Linked DNA regions of Danio rerio. The main gene of each other region encodes a partner of the protein of the gene in region 2 in a complex. Links are inferred from orthologs where the notes say so. Each region holds a gene or a part of one and is shown on either strand. Other genes may lie near its edges. The genes, in order: drc8 and ccdc135.

Region 1 (4,510 bases), on a different chromosome or scaffold from region 2:
GATTAAAGTACAGTCCATTAAATCAATGCACTGGTCTTAGGTGTCTTGCATAGTGTCTTTGACACTGCTAAAAGTTTCACATGTTAACAAGGTAAATTCACACATTAAAAATTAAAAAACAAAACAGCCTCACCTCAAAAGCCTGTATGAGCAGGTCTTCTGTAATAGGACGAAACCTGCAAGAAAAAAGAAAGAAGCAGAGCTACAATTATCACTAATACTAGGCTTTGTATTAAATTTTATTGTGGGAAAAACTTTAGCAAAGTAAATATTTATTTAATCAAATGTTTATTTTATTTTAGTTTTAAGTTTTTACAGGTACTGCAAATTATGTTAAAACACTTATAGTCATATACTGTACGTCTCAGGGATGGATTTAGTGATTTTGGGGCCCTAAGCTGTTCCAGCCATTAGACCCAAAAGTTCTAAAAGGCACCTTTTGTACTTTAATTTTTTTATTATTATTTTGCTGTTATTTCTTATATCAATCAATCTCCTTTTCTACATTTTATCTTAATGCAAAATAATAATAACATGTAAAGCACCTTATAAAACTTTTTAAATCATTTGTTTTCTTAAGATAAATTCACTATAAATAAACAATTTCGTTTTTTAAAACTAAATCTTTACTGATTTGACAGCTGAACTGGTCCATGATTGAAGGTAGGGGAAAATATGATAGAAAGCAATGTTATATATAATATTTATATGTATAATTTATAATTCTAGGTATTTATTTGGGAGCCCTCAGATTAACTGGGGCCCTGAGCGGCCGATTAACTTGCATATTGTTTAAATCCACCCCCAGCACATCTACATGTAGAGGCAAAACATTTGTCTGCTTTAGACACGACAACACATTTTATTAGTGAGATTTTGGCTCACACAGGCCAAATATAGAAAAAGGGAAATCCAAATATTTCCATTGCTCTCTGGTCATTGATTGCAGAACATTTTAAAAAGCCCTGCTCCCTCAATGTTATCGAAGAGAAGGTAAGCGTTTAATTAATGTTTTCTTATTTATTCATTCTTTTCGGCTAAGTCCCTTTATTTTTTATCGCCACAGCAGAATGAACCGCCAACTTATCCAGGATGTGTTTAATGCAGCGGATGCCCTTCCAGCTGCAACCCAGTGCTGAGAAACATCCACACACACTCATTCACACACATACACTACGGCCAATTTAGTTCATTCAATTCACCTATACCACATGTCTTCGGACTGTGCGGGAAACCGGAGCACTAGGAGGAAACCCACGCCAATACAGGGAAAACATGCAAACTCCACACAAAAATGCCAACTGACCCAGCCAGAGCTTTAAACAATGACCTTCTTGCTGACAGTGCTACCCACTGCGCCACTGTGTCGCCTTGTTTTCTCGTTACATCAATTGTTGATGTATATACGGAACATTTTTTAATAAGTTTGCTTTTATTTGGATGCATGCCATTATGTGCTTGCAATTGGGTGTGTAGGAACTGTGGGAATTATACGATCCGTGCAAGTTGATACCTTGGACATTTTGGCTTCATCTTCTAGCACTATATATCCATGTACAGTTGAAATCAGAATAATTAGCCCTCCTGAACTATTAGCCCCGTTGTAAATGTTTTCCCCAATTTCTGTAACGAAAAGAATTTTTTCAACACATTTCTAAACATAATAGTTATAATAACTCATTTGACACATCAAACTGATTTATTTTATCTTTGCCATGATGATGATTTTCAACATACTAGTATTCAACTTAACGTGACATTTAAAGGCTTAACTACATTAATTAAGGTAATTAGGCAGGTTAGGGTATTTAGGCAAGTCATTGTATAATAATGGTTTGTTTTCTAGATAATCGAAAATAAATATTGCTAAAGGGGGCTAATAATATTGACCTTAAAATGTTTTTTTTTTATTAAAGACCATTATTTTAGCCAAAATAAAACAAATAAGACTTTTGCTAGAAGAAAAAAAAAATCCTTGCTCTGTTGAATATCAATTTAAAAATAACTGAGTAAGAAAAAATTATTTACAGGACAGCTAATAATTTTGAGTTAGACTGTATATAAATATATAGATGCATTTGTGTGATTTATCAGTCTGTGACCTTTTAAAAACATTAAGAATAATCTGGGTTTCATACTGTTTTATTTCATTACAGTCTTACTTGCGCTCCAGCAGGATCTTAGTCATAGTTGGAAGAAACTTCTCATAGCGCACAAATCCAGTGGGTTCTTCTTCTTCTAGCTGTGAATGAAATGACACTTCATAACTATTGATCTACTCAACTTACAAGAGCGATGCATTTTATGACCCGGCAAAACAAAACCACTGACCTCAGAGATGATATCATGCAATTCAGCTTCTGAAGGAAAACAGCCAAGTGAACGAATGATGGTGCCTATTTCCCTTTTACGGTGAAAAATGACAGATAACATTAAAGAAGTCTTCCTTGTTTGTAGAACATGTGCAGAACAAAGCTAACAGACATCAACAAATGGTCTAATATATTTTGAAAAACAGCGTAGTGAAACGTTACCTGACATCAACAGTCTTGTTGGATTCATGGTCAAATACATCAAAGGCATTCCCAATCCTCTTTTGAGTTTCTATTATAATATTTTCTGATAAAAAATACATTAATTAACGTTGTGTTTTTCCGCATTTTTATTTTATTTTGTGTGTGTGTGTTTACAAAGCAATTCAGCTGTAGATGTTCGCTGTCTGTGTGGTCTTTTACTGTTACTTTAACTACTCGACGTTAACAAACAACGTTACTGAAAACTTTTCAAACATCATTGATCTGGTAACAGTCGTAGTAATGGCAACTGTATTTAAAAACACGTCATGCTGAGAATACAAACACCATTAATAAGCATACAGTAAGCCCACAAACGTAAAAAAAGCGTAGCATTTTACGTGTAGCATCTTTACCTGCATTATACTTGTCCGCCATGTCTAAAACCCTGGTTGCTAGGTAACCTGAACACACTCGCCATTCAGACGGAGGGCAGGAAGTGGTTCTTCTACGTAGGAACCGCTTTCAGAAGTTTAAAAAAATGTTTCTGTTTATGCTGTTTATGATTGTTTAAATCGACCAAAATAAGAAATGCCGAACATCTTTTATAGACTAGCAAAAGTTTTTGCTCACAAAAGGGGAAAGTTCAGTACTGACTAAAAAAACAGAAGAAAAGGAAGAATGTAAGGAACATTTTTATACATCCTTTGTACAAGCATGAACGCGATTATTCGTTTGAAAGCACCAATAAAGAGTACATGTCTAAATTACCTATGTGTATAAATATGTCAGTGTTAAATAAAAATCAGAAGCACTTATACAATCCAGGAGAATATATAGGCTAAATAGTACCTGCTATAGTAATAAATAATCACATAGTCCAAACACTAATATTTCAGAGTTGCCAAAATGCGTGAAAGTCACGCAATTGACCGTATTCTCACGCTCTCACGCCACACATCAGTTTTCTCACGCAGTAAAATCATCTCCGTGAAATATTTATTCCGTTATAAAAAAACTCCCTATGATGTATGTAGCCTTGCTGTAGTCAACCTAAAACCTACAGTAGGTTGACACAAAACCAAAACAACACCCATTCTTGTCTTAGGACATTTTATTTGGCAAATGTTAAAATAACAGTAAGTTTATGACATGTTAAATATATAGTATAATTTGCTGGTTTTAAACATACAGCATATTAATAATAATAAATATAGTATAACAATCATAACATAACATCAAATGTTGACTAATGAAGGTACATTTATAACAACTATTTATTTGTTAGACTACTGTATTGTCAAACCATGTTGCATACAAATGCATTCAACAGACCTATATGACAGTGCATTGCTGTAGAGGACAAATAAAACGAGACAGGTGTTTAGAAAGAGTATAGTTTATTTAGTTTGACATGCAAACTTATCTAAACAAAGACACACTTTCAGAAAACAGCCCGAAAACATTATAATGCGCGCGCTCGTGATTATAACCCGCGGTTGTCTTCAACTGTTGTCTTCAATAGTCCTTCTTTGCTCAAAATCTCAGCTGAAAAACAAAGCAAAACATCACAACAGTCAGACACAGAAGAGCATAGAATTACCATGAGGCGACAATCTACAATTTGGGAAACAATAACGCGCTTTTTGAATAAATTAAATAAAAACAAAGCAGCTGCTTTCCATCGCGACAGCAATGACGAGCGATCGCTATCACTTCAAAATGGCGGAATCCGGGTCTGTTGCTCTTGGTCATTGTAAGCTCTTTGCATAAAGTTAAATCATAACAGTTACCATGGTTTCTATTTCAAACTATATAGTAAACTAAAGTTTGAAACTATGGTTTAAAATAGAAGATGAGTGGGCCTCGCTACTCCCACCCACCATAACCCTCGCAGCGAGGTCCCACTACCGGCCCCCCGTGTTTCCCTGAGGGTCCTCGGTGGTTGTTTGCTCCCTGCCTAGGGCTCAAAGGCCGCCTCGCCCCAGGGAGTGCAC
Region 2 (4,457 bases):
TATATATATATATATATACTGTATATATATATGTATATATATACACACAAACACAGCACAAAAGTATTAGGTGAAATTTTCGATCTTTTTCAAATGAGTTTCTTAACATTTAGTTTTAATAAGTAATTTATTTCGTCTTTAACATCACACATTTTACTAGATAAATTGCAAGTTGAAGGCTAAATTATTTTAACAAAGCAAGAGTATATGTACAATTGGTCAGAATTATTAGCCCCTCTTTGAATTTTTTTTATATTTCCAAAATGATGTTTAATAGAGCAAATAATTTTACAGTATGTCTGATAATATTTTTTCTTCTGGAGAAAGTCTTATTTGTTTTAATTCGGCTAGAATGAACGCAGTTTTTAATTTTTTAAAAACCATTTTAGGGACAAAATTATTAGCCCCTTTAAGCTATTTTTTCGATAGTCTACAGAACAAACCATTGTTATATATAAACTATTGTCCTAACCATAGTCCTGATCAAAACTACTAAATGTTTTTTTTAATACAAGATTTTAACTCGTTAATTGCAGAATTCATAAATGATGTCACTGATTTGGCGAAAGAAAAACATAAAATTTCTTATTTTCAATAAAAAAAGGAGTTGGACTGGATTTTTTAAACCTTGTGCATAAAAACAGGCGTTGTTTTTGTTTACTCCATGTAGTTCGGAGAGCTGAAATGCATATTTTGATTTTTACAGAGACACCAAGGTAAGGTCACACACTCATAGACACAAATACACACTTTAATTTGCTGTTATATGCCATATAAATCTATCTAAAGTGTTAATGGTGCCAACTGATGTTCAACCTTAGAAATGACAAACTTTACTTCTTCCCAACACATCATTATATAGTGTCATAAGCCACTTTTCCACTATGGTGCTGAACCGTTCTTTATGTGGAACCATGCCAAACTGGACCAGACAGTACGGATATGGTTTCATTTTCCACTGTCGTGCTGCAACAAAGCTCTTTGAAATGTTACATAAAACACATCAGTAGTTGCCTTGGTAACGTAATGTAAACGGCTCCCTTTGTACAAAGAAATTTTAATAATAGCCAACACTAGTTTTTTTCATTTTAATATGTAAAAGCGAAAGCAACCGCATGACTTAACACTTACATTATGCCGCTCTCTTGTTTGGGCTACAAGTCACAGCACCCCTATTTATTTAGAGGTCAAATGTTGCGAGGCTCTGGGCAAGCTTTACTTGGAGTGAAAAACGACCAAAATGTATGGTGATGAATGAAAATGATTGGAGGGGAAATAAATAATATATTTCAAATATCCGTACAGAACAGAAAACAAAACAATGATAATGTAACAATAATAGTGCATTTGTATTATAGTGGCAGAAATATATTTTCACTAATAAGCACTTTCACTAATAAACTATATAGCACTTAAATAATTTCATATTTAACAATCAATTAAATTACACAGCAGTTTCATATCAAAAGTTTATTAAGATATAAAATAAACTGCATTTTGATGGTAAAATATAACCTTTTAAGCGATGTCTGTTATTTGTTTCAGTATTCAAACATTAAATAACGAATGCATCAAGGTAAATAAATAAAAATTAAATAAATTTGACCTCTTCCCAACAGGGAAAACCACCAACAATCAAAAGTGCGTGATTATATGATGTCATAGTTTGCAATTAATAAATGTGATTAATGGTAGTCAATGGGGCAGCCACAAACAGTAAATTAGGGAGAGAGAAAATCTTCTGCTGCACAAAAACTAACATTAAATAATAGGCAAGGTTGTTAATAATATTTTACATGTCCAAGACTGTGATTAAATGTTTTTTTAAAAATCCAGTGTACAATTACTTTTTATATAGAAAATAAGTAATTTTGTAGGGGGTTTTCACCATATCAGTGACATCATTTATGAATTTGGCAATTAAAGAGTTAAAATCCTGTAATTTTATAAGCAATTTAGTAGTTTTGATCAGGACTGAGGTTGATTAACAGACTTATGCAAAAATTAATAAAGAAAAAATATTAATCTGATGCACTTTTACATCAGTTTATTTCATTGGATGTTTTCATCACTAATATAAAAAAGAACAGTACATTTATTTTTGTTTTTTAATTTCAAAGCATTTTCTCCAAAATATGTCAAATAAAGATTTATTACCAAAAACCATTCTGCTAGCTGAAACACAGAGAACGTTATGACCAAATTATGACTCAAAATCACCCCAGAGTGGATGAAAACATTCTTAACATACATAAGGGACACAATATTAATTCGATTTTCTTTTAACATTTATAAATCTTTCAATAATAACAGAAAATATCCTAATCATAAAAACCTGTTATATGGAGAATTTATTTGTTGAGTGACCTAAAATAACACTGACCTGGACATGTTCCTAACACGTTTTGCACAGATAAAGACAAACAAGTATAGTGTAAAACAAACAACAAGCGCGACCCTGTTCTCTGTGCACTAATGTACCCTGTAGTTTTTTTGTTAAAGTGAAACAGTTTGACTTTGGTCTACTAGCCCACAGTTGATACACCACTCATGTTTATGGCTAATGATTACAAACACTGTAAACAGCCAGCGTCCATTTACGAGAAGCCCCTGTGGAGAAACGCGAGCTTTCATGAACACACGAGTTTGCCACATGCTGATGAACTTTAATAACCTCACATGTGTGGAAGGTCTGGAGTCAATCGTATGTTATTATTAAGGCTGCTTTCAAGTTCCCGAAACCCCTTCTTTTCTTCATCATCTGTCAGAGTCGCGTCTTCCTCACTCTCCATCTCCGGTAACACTTCCATCTAATGAATTAATAAAGCAATAATTATACAGACAGACGAGAGAGGAGAAAGCAGGTCGATGACTGAAACATTAAACACATACATCTTGTTACTTTTACAGTTAGCAGTTTAAAGACTTACTGTTTATAAAAGTGAATATACGTCCCTAATCTAAATTAACTGATAAACAGTAGATTAACGTAACGAGCGGCAGGAGCGTGAAACTTTTGTTTATGTTGCGCAATTTAGTTTCCATGGCGAGGGGAGACGTGACGTAACAGCGCGGGGTGGAGTCAGCTTTTGTGTTATTTTGAATTCATTTTAAATTGTTACATTTTTAAATCAGAATAATAAATCTTCAAGTGGATCCAGGACTTTTTTACTGTATCAGACTTGAAAAGCTGAGATGCTCACTCTCTGGCTCACTAGATTCCTTTTATAAGAGTTGAGATTCCTTTCTTGACTAAGTTACACCAAAGGCCTGCCTATTACATCTGCTGCTGGCAACCTGTAACTTCTACCATTTTATTAGAAGGTTTTTTTTTTCATTATTATAATTATTATTTTAATTATTATTATTTTTACCATCTATATCCAGCTATTATTATTCATTTATTTATTTTATTTTCGGCTTAGTCCCTTTATTAATTTGGGGTCTCCACATGGGAATGAACCGTCAACTTATCCAGCATTACGCAGCAGATGCAACCCATCACTTGGAAACATCCATACACATTCACTCACACACATACACTACGAACAATTTAACCTACTACCCAATTCACCTGTACTGCATGTCTTTGGACTTGTGGGGGAAACCGGAGCACCCGGAGGAAACCCACGCCAACATGGGGAGAATATGCAAACTCCACATAGAACTGCCAACTGACCCAGTCGAGGCTCCATTATTATTTTGTCATGTATTCAATTTTTTTATTTTGGCATTTATTTATTTATTTGATGTTGTTGTTTTGTTAATTGAGTTAATGAATGAGAGGTTAGGGGATGGGATTAACCATGGACAATACATTACCGTTACCTCTCACTATTTAATTTGTATTGTCAGACAAAAGACTAATAAAAAAGACTGAAAAAAATCTTAGGTGAGTAAAGAAACATCTAATTAAAAATATTTTGTTATAAATTACTGTCACTTTTAAACTATTGCAACATTGGTGGCTAAAATATACATTTATATTTAAATTAGTTAATGTTACTGTTCCTTTATTGTGGGTGTGTATGTAGGAGCGTAAATAAAATACTCAATATTCATTTGTTTTATTGATTTTTCTAAATTTCTTTACATTCTTATAAAAATTAAAAATTTTACCTCGACAATCAAAAATGCATAATTATATGGTGTCATGGCTTTGCAATCAAAAAAATTGGTTATAATGTAAGTCAATAGGCCAAAAACAACCAAGAACAGTAAATTAGGGAGAGAAAAAATGAAAACCTTCTGTTGCACAAAAACTAACAATACATCAAAGGCAATGTTGTTACAAATCTTTCACATGTCCAAGACTGATAAAAAGTTTAAAAACTCCAGTCCACAATTATTTTTTATATTGAATTGTTTTTTTAATTTTTATATTTCTTTACATTTAATTTTATGCTTTATTTAAAGTTTTAATTTCAGCCTTAATTTAAAAAAAATTATAATTATTT

The links.
Region 1: ccdc135 (region 2) and drc8 share a complex: the UniProt entries of both Homo sapiens proteins name them as parts of the nexin-dynein regulatory complex. The link is inferred for Danio rerio from reciprocal best matches to the Homo sapiens genes DRC7 and DRC8.

What each region holds. Positions count from the first base shown.
Region 1 is NC_133192.1:12,696,600-12,701,109, reverse strand, and holds the start of drc8 (dynein regulatory complex protein 8), read right to left. Parts: upstream 2,968-4,510; 5' UTR 2,952-2,967; coding exon 2,930-2,951; intron 2,620-2,929; coding exon 2,535-2,619; intron 2,405-2,534; coding exon 2,332-2,404; intron 2,243-2,331; coding exon 2,163-2,242; intron 177-2,162; coding exon 134-176; intron 1-133. UniProt on the Homo sapiens protein: Component of the nexin-dynein regulatory complex (N-DRC), a key regulator of ciliary/flagellar motility which maintains the alignment and integrity of the distal axoneme and regulates microtubule sliding in motile axonemes.
Region 2 is NC_133200.1:14,661,432-14,665,888, reverse strand, and holds the start of ccdc135 (dynein regulatory complex subunit 7), read right to left. Parts: upstream 3,037-4,457; 5' UTR 2,931-3,036; intron 2,811-2,930; coding exon 2,680-2,810; intron 1-2,679. UniProt on the Homo sapiens protein: Component of the nexin-dynein regulatory complex (N-DRC) a key regulator of ciliary/flagellar motility which maintains the alignment and integrity of the distal axoneme and regulates microtubule sliding in motile axonemes.